2 linked regions of the Rattus norvegicus genome follow. The protein of the gene in region 1 purifies or fractionates together with the protein of each later gene. This does not show direct contact. Links are inferred from orthologs where the notes say so. Each region holds a gene or a part of one and is shown in the gene's direction. Other genes may lie near its edges.

What was found. Proteins that work in one complex are often made in the same cells at the same time.
Region 2: the proteins of Prpf19 (region 1) and Eftud2 purify together in Homo sapiens (affinity purification with mass spectrometry; 3 studies listed by BioGRID and IntAct, with this or other methods). This does not show direct contact. The link is inferred for Rattus norvegicus from reciprocal best matches to the Homo sapiens genes PRPF19 and EFTUD2.

The regions. Positions count from the first base shown.
Region 1 is NC_086019.1:216,972,990-216,976,637, forward strand, and holds part of Prpf19 (pre-mRNA-processing factor 19), read left to right. Parts: intron 1-1,219; coding exon 1,220-1,375; intron 1,376-1,574; coding exon 1,575-1,644; intron 1,645-1,842; coding exon 1,843-1,928; intron 1,929-2,164; coding exon 2,165-2,335; intron 2,336-2,470; coding exon 2,471-2,576; intron 2,577-3,648. UniProt on the Homo sapiens protein: Ubiquitin-protein ligase which is a core component of several complexes mainly involved pre-mRNA splicing and DNA repair. Required for pre-mRNA splicing as component of the spliceosome.
Region 2 is NC_086028.1:88,343,421-88,347,168, reverse strand, and holds the start of Eftud2 (116 kDa U5 small nuclear ribonucleoprotein component), read left to right. Parts: upstream 1-1,011; 5' UTR 1,012-1,064; intron 1,065-2,716; exon of another isoform or gene 2,717-2,795; intron 2,796-3,748. UniProt on the Homo sapiens protein: Required for pre-mRNA splicing as component of the spliceosome, including pre-catalytic, catalytic and post-catalytic spliceosomal complexes. Component of the U5 snRNP and the U4/U6-U5 tri-snRNP complex, a building block of the spliceosome.

The DNA.
Region 1 (3,648 bases):
TAGTGTACTCATATATAATATTTAAAAAAAAGGAAACTGAGAAATAGAGGAATTTATGTTTGTCAGTGTTCTCTTGCTGTAAAGAGGCACCATGATCGTGGCAACTCCTATAAAAGAAAGCATTTAACTGGTGCTTGCTTACAGTTTTAGAGGGTCAGTCCATGATCATGGCAGGGAGCAGGTGGCAAGCATGGTACTGGAGCAGTAGCTGAGAGCTGTATCCTGATCCGAAAGGAGACAGACAGATATGTGTGCAGCATGCATGCAAAGCACTGGGGTTGGTGTGGGCCTTTGACCCCACCACACCCCACACCCCACACCCGTACTTCCTCTGATAGCAGCATCCTTCTAATCCTTTCAAATAGTGCCACTTTGGGGGACTAAGCATGAGCCTATGGGGGCCGTTTTTAATTCAAACCACCACAACTGTGACAAACTGAAAAAATTAGGTATAATTTGCAGCGCTATTTTCTTATTTATTTGATATTAGTGCCACTATTGGCTTTTATGTGTTAATGAAAGAATAGTTGCTTTTATCTTTTAGCTGTTGCTATCCTAACTAGTTGGAATAATTTGTTAAGGAAACTAAATAAGTTCTTTCTGCCCCAAGTCTTTTGGATAATCAACTTGCTCTTGAGGTCTAAGTGGAAGGAACAGGGCCCATGGCTTTCCTTTAGGCTCAGTGCTGCTCCCATCGTCTATTACAGCCATCTTTAGCTGCAGGCAGCACACGACTTCAGTCTCAGTTATACGAGCCATATTTTACCCAGCCTGAAAATGGGCCCCAAGTGCTCTCTGATGCAGTTGCTGCTTGTCCTACTAAGTAGTGAAGCTCTCGCCTGGCCTGGCACTTCAGCAGCACTTTTTTCCTTGGCTTTCTTAGGCTCTGTTTTGCTTTTTGTTTTTTTAAGATTTATTTTATGTATATGACACTTTGGTCTTCAGACACACCAGAAGAGGGCACCAGATCCCATTACAAATGGTTGTGAGCCACCACATGGTTGCTGGGAATTGAACTCAGGACCTCTGGAAGGGCAGTCAGCGCTCTTAATCGCTGAGTCATCTCTCCAGCCCCAGACTTTGTTGTTTAGATAGAAGGTTACAGGCAGGACTGGGCTAGAAGTAGTTGCTGGCAGTTGTGACTGTCCTCATCACTCTGGAAAAGTGTTAAAATGCATCTCACTTCTTGGACTCTGATTCTTGCTCTCTTTCCTTTCAGGAATTGGTGTTTTCTGCGTCCCCTGATGCTACTATCAGGATTTGGTCCGTCCCGAACACTTCTTGTGTACAGGTTGTTCGGGCCCATGAGAGTGCGGTGACAGGACTCAGCCTCCATGCCACTGGAGACTATCTACTGAGCTCCTCTGATGATCAGGTGCAGTCACAGTCAGGGGGCCTTGAGGAAGCTGCTTTCTCATCCCGGGAGGAGGGGGCAGCAAGGTTCCCAGAGTTTGGGAAATGTTTCTTCTCTATGGGAACTAACTCTGCAAGGGGGATCTGTCTTGAAGACCACAAGACCCACTTTCTCATTGGCTTTTTTTTTTTTTTTTTTTTTTCTTTCATCTCATTTTCAGTACTGGGCGTTCTCTGACATTCAGACAGGGCGTGTGCTCACCAAGGTGACAGATGAGACTTCCGGCTGCTGTAAGTGGCCTAGAGGCATTGAGCTCTTTTGTTTGCAATTTGTTGGTGTGTTTCATTCAGTCATTTGCTTATGTGTTCTAAAGACAGTGTTTACCACTGGCAGTAATGTAGTGCCACTCTTGTGCTGGTACAGTGAGGAATGAAGCGCTCTCACTCTCCCTGCAAACTCCTGACTACAGACCTCTTCCCTTTCCTCAGCTCTTACCTGTGCACAGTTCCACCCTGATGGCCTCATCTTTGGAACAGGAACCATGGACTCCCAGATCAAGATCTGGGACTTGAAGGTAGGACATGCAGGCCTCGTCTGGGGCCCAAAGGAGAAGGAACTTATGAGCTGTGATGGCAAGCCTGAGTTATCTCAGGGCTTGGGAGAGGAGTACCTAGCTCTGTTTGTGTGGCATAAGTGTGATCAAGGAACTGTGGATGTATAGGACATCTCACAATAGGAGTTTGGTAAGCCCTGCTTTTTTTCCTGTTTTGACCAGTGAATGCTGTTTTATTGCCCAACCTCCACCTGCAGGAACGCACCAATGTGGCGAACTTCCCTGGCCACTCCGGCCCCATTACCAGCATTGCCTTCTCTGAGAATGGGTACTACCTGGCCACGGCAGCTGATGACTCCTCAGTCAAGCTCTGGGACTTACGCAAGTTGAAGAACTTCAAGACATTGCAGCTGGACAACAACTTTGAGGTGTGTTCCTCCTCAGTCTCAATTGTTTCTCCTTACTCGGCGATAGTTTCTGAGTTCATGCAAGCCGCTCCTGTTTGCTCCCAGTTTCATGTCTTCTGTTCATTTGTGTAATTGCCTCTCTTTGGGGTTTGGCAGGTGAAGTCACTAATCTTTGACCAGAGTGGCACCTACCTGGCGCTTGGGGGTACAGATGTCCAGATCTACATCTGCAAACAGTGGACAGAGATTCTTCACTTTACAGGTAGAGGACGCCTGCCTGGGGCTTCCAGGGCCTTGTGTGTCTGCTCTGGCGAGAAGTGGGGATAAAGCTCTGGGCTTGGCTTAGATAGGCTTTCCTTCCCGTCTTGCTGTCCTGGGACTAGAACACAGTCGAGGTTTCTGTCACTGAGCTCTCAACCCCCATCCCCACCCAGTAGTGTTTACTTATGGCTGGGGAGTAGAGCATTGTGGCCCAGGAAAAGTACTTGTGAGTCTGTCCCAGAGTACTGCTACTAGCTGGCCTCTCCCAAGCTGTGTGTTGAGGAGCAAACTGATCTCCCTGGTGTTCCAGGAAAATTGGAATACATGAAGAGACACTTCGTGGGGATCATGAGGGCTTACATGAAAGTGCATGACACCCATAGGTTAGAAGTATTTTATGGTATATTTGGTAATGGGTCTTGATTTGCGTAATGAATAAGAACAGTAATGAAGTAATGGGCAGTAATGAAGTTTTTATTTATTTTAGCTTTTTGAGAGGGTGTCTCTGGGTAACAAGCATTGGCAGTTCTGGAACTCACTCTAGACCAGGCTGGCCTCAAATTCACAGAGATATGCTGCCGTTGCCTTCTGGGTGCTGGGATTAAAGGTGTGCACCACAGTGCCTGGCCTTTTCTTTCCTTCGTGAACTTTTTATTGGGGGCTGTCGTGGATGAGTAATGAAGCTTATACATCAAGTTAGGAAGAGCAGATGGAAGGCAGTTCGGTACGCTTGTTTCGCTTTGTGTGGAGATGGAGTTCAGGGCCTTTCCCACAGTAGCAGGTCTTCAGGCCCCAACACAAGTACTCAAGGGCAATGACACAGTGCTGTGCAAGAGGTTTTCTCACCTTGGAGTTCCCCTGTGACCCTGAGTTGCGTCAGCAATCTTTAGGGTGGGGATCTTGCTGCATGTGGTAGTTCACACCTGTAATCCCAACACTTAGTGGCTGACGCTAGAGGATCACCTTGAGTTTGGGCCAGCTAGGAGCGCAAGAGGGCTTTTCTCTGGGGAGCTTTGAAGCTCCAGTGTTATCCTACATCTGATATGTTCTCCAACTGTCGGAGTCCTGTGAAG
Region 2 (3,748 bases), on another chromosome or scaffold:
ACCCAAAGCAATGGCAACGCAGGAAGTTGAGAACTATCAGAGGGAGAAAAGCTCAGTGGCCTTCCTTCCCAAATCCCTGACCAGGGGAGGGCTGCAGGCAAATGTGTGGTGGCATTATCTCCAGTCCTACCACTGAAGTTCTGCCCCCTTCTGGTGGTATGTGTCCGATGGGGCTGTTTTCACAGGAATCTATGTGTGCCTGTCTGGGTTCTGACATTTACTTATGATACCTCTTTCCACCTCAGAATCCTGGTGAGCGGGTGCTGCATGCTGTAGTTCACTCAGGATCAGCCAGCCCTAGGGCAGGAAATGAGCTGATCCGCAAGCAAATCCACAGCCATGCCGGATCCCATCGATGGGAAGTGGAAAGCCAAGAAGTGGGCTGTGTTAGCCAGCCAACAATTGTACTCAAGTGTCTCAGATTCTATGCAATATTTTGGGGTGGGGGAGATCTCGCTATGTAGCCTAGTTCTCTCCAAAACTTCTGAGCTCATGATGTTTCCTCTAGGCTCAGCCTCAGGAGCGATAGAGACTATAGACTCTCTCCATCCCGCCCACTTCCCTGGCTAGTTCTAAGCCTTCCCCTAGAGTAATCCCCTTTACTGTCCCCAAACCCTCACCCAGTAGCCCCAGTCTTGGACCTTTTGCTTTCTTTTGAAAAAGCCCCTCGATCTGTTAGAACGAACACCTTAGAGGATCGCCCAGCCAACAGCGGTTGTTGCCTAGCAACGGCGCCACTAGCCCGCCCACGTGACCAGCCCGAAGGCCCTCCCTTCGGGCTGTCCCAAGGCGCCTGATCAGATCCGAGACTCCTCCGACCGTGCGTTTTTCTGAAACAGTTCACGCTTCGTTTTGAGGATCAACAAATTGGCTTTTCCAGTTTCTGTCTCCAAGCCAAAATTCCTCGAAGCTGCTCCTCAGGCAGAGGGCTGTCCTGCGAGGCGAGGCGATCCGGCGACGCGCTCGGGGTCCTTCCTGGCGACGGGCGCCGGCGTTGTCGCGGCGTGCGGCGGAAGCGCGGGCTCAGGCGGCGGACTAGTGGCCCTCGGCTGATCAGGCGGCGGGTGAGCTGGCCGGGAAGGGTATTCTCAGGGGTTGGGGAACCAAAGAAACCCGAGTTTGGGAAGAGGCGAATTATGCCTTTCGCTTAATCAACGCGTAAATTGAATTCTGGCGTGGGGAAGGGAATGAAAGACACCGACCCCCAACACACGCTCACACGGTCGATTCCAGCGTTTCCGTGGTCCCCGGCGTGGTTAAGATCCTGTGCCTTAGTAGAGGTGGCGCTGTAAATACCCAGACCCCTGCCACTCCCCCTTCTATCGGTCCCTGCTTCACAGCCAAACTGTGTCCGTCTTCAAACTATTCTGCATCCAAGCTGGCTGTGATAGCTGGTGCCTAATTCTTCCTCGCTGGAGATAGAGGCAGGAATATTGGTGCAGGTTCAAGGCTAAGCAATGGGTCTGGTTCAAAAAGCCAAAACAGAAAAGATTTCAGCATTCCTTTGAGGATCTGTGTTGTAGCGGGAAGATGCAGTTCTAGTATTAGGGACTAGCTTTACTTAACTAAGCATGTAACTAATTCATCCTCCCACCCCCAACAAACAAAACTAGCAAAACGTATTGAAGGCCTGTTTTGTCCCAGACACTACTGTCATTTTTTGCTCCGATTTTTATTATTAACGTTTGTCAGTAGCAGATATACACCCATGTATTCCTAAGTACTACTCAGGCATAACCTTGATTTATTAGGCTGGGGGTGTAACTCGGTGGAGAAGTGTGAGGCCCAGAATTTGATCTTAATCACCCGACCACACACTAAGATTAGTGTAAGGCTGGGTTGACAGGTGTATGTGGAGGGATTTTTAGCGTGGCAAATAGGTGACATTAAAGGAGAGGGGTGAGTTAAATGAATTAAGATATAAATAGCCAGAGGACAATGGGAATGACAATAGCCCTGAGGCAGAGATGAGCTTGGCTTGTTGAGCAAACAACTTTCTTTGAAAATTTGTGCCATTTTCTGGTGGGAGTCTTGAGCATAATTGTGGTGGCCTCTTAGAACTAAAAACAATAGTTACATCAGAGTCTCCATAATGACTGACATTTAATTACCAGTGATTAGCACTCTAATTCTGCATTTTATTTATAGTCATTCCTCACTGAGGTATTCAGTCTACAGTAAGAAATAACAGAATTTCAAAACTGAACATTCTACTCAGTTAACCTTACTCGGTGTCTGTTTGTGCAAGGTGCTGCCTAGGGTTTTGGCGTGTGAACACATGCTCATGTTTTATGTTAACCAACATTTGTTATTTGTATTTTTTTGGGGGGGGGGTTCTTTTTTTCGGAGCTGGGGACCGAACCCAGGGCCTTGCGCTTCCTAGGCAAGCGCTCTACCACTGAGCTAAATCCCCAACCCCTTTATTTGTACTTTTTGAGACAGGGTCTCTCATATCTCAGGATAGGATCGTGGGTATAAGCTCTCATGCCCAGCTAATCTTACGTTGTGTGTTTCTCTGTGAGTATGTTTGCAAATCTCTCTGGTGAATGAGGATCAGGTGTGCTGTGGCTTGCAGGCAGAGGTCAGAGGACAACCTTCAGGGTTTGTCCCTCCACTCCTGACCTGTTTTGAGATAGGATCCCCTCGTTACTGCCAACACCAGACTGACTGGCTCTGAGCCTCAAAGAATCTCTGCCTCCCATTTCCTGTAGGAAATCGCAGACACTCACACTACCAGATGGGGCTTTTTCGTGGGTTTCCAGGATTGAACCCAGGCCGTCAGACTGCATAGCTAGGTACATTCATCGCCTTTCTAAGGTCTTAGGCTGTGATAATTCACTCTAGGGAGGTAAATGCAGTTCCACGAGTTAACATCATCGTTAGAGATGAGGCTGAGATACGATGATGGAGTGAGGTCGATGGAGCGAGGTCTTTAACTCCAGGGGCCTGATGCTTTTCCCCTGCTTCGGTTTTTGTTGCTCACAAACTGTAGAGGAGTTGTTGGTGAGAATAACAGTAGTCACCTAGCATTTGGGACAGAAGATACTGAAGAGAGTGAGAAGTGAGAGGCTGAAGGGCTAGGAAAGCTTGAAGGGTGGGATCTAAACTGTTCCTTTGAGCAGGATATCAGTCACTGAAGTGGGGGAAAAATCCACTGGAATTGCAGACAATTGTAAGCTAATGTGTGGATGTTGAGACTCGAACCTGGGTCCTTTGAAAGAGCAGTAAGAACAATGAGTTCTTAATCATCACTAAGGGAAAATGAGTACTTTTATAACAAGCATGTCCGCTGTCAGCATAGTTGAGGGCACAGCGAGAATCATCAGTGAGGAATGGTGTACCGCTAAGAGCAGATGCAAATCCACACGAAGGGATTGCTGATACAAAGCATTGCTTTGTGGTCTGAAAATGTCAAGTCGTGAAAGTCAAGACTAGAAAGCCATTCTAGATTAAAAGGATAAAGATACCTCAGGGTGTGTACAGTCCTGGTTTATGTCCTTAGCTGTATAATTCATGACTGGAACAGTTTTTCAACTTGGCATTAGGTAGAATAACCTGCTGGTATTGATGTTTTTGTTTTGATGATTGTATTGTGATATTTTGAGAACTTTTTTTTTAAAGTAAGATGCTGGAAAGATGGTTTAGAATTTAAGAGTAACTTCTAGGCAGCCATGAAGACTTGGAGTCAGATCCTAGCATTCACATGGCAATCTTCATGTTCCCAAAGGATCCAATGCTGTCTTTGGAG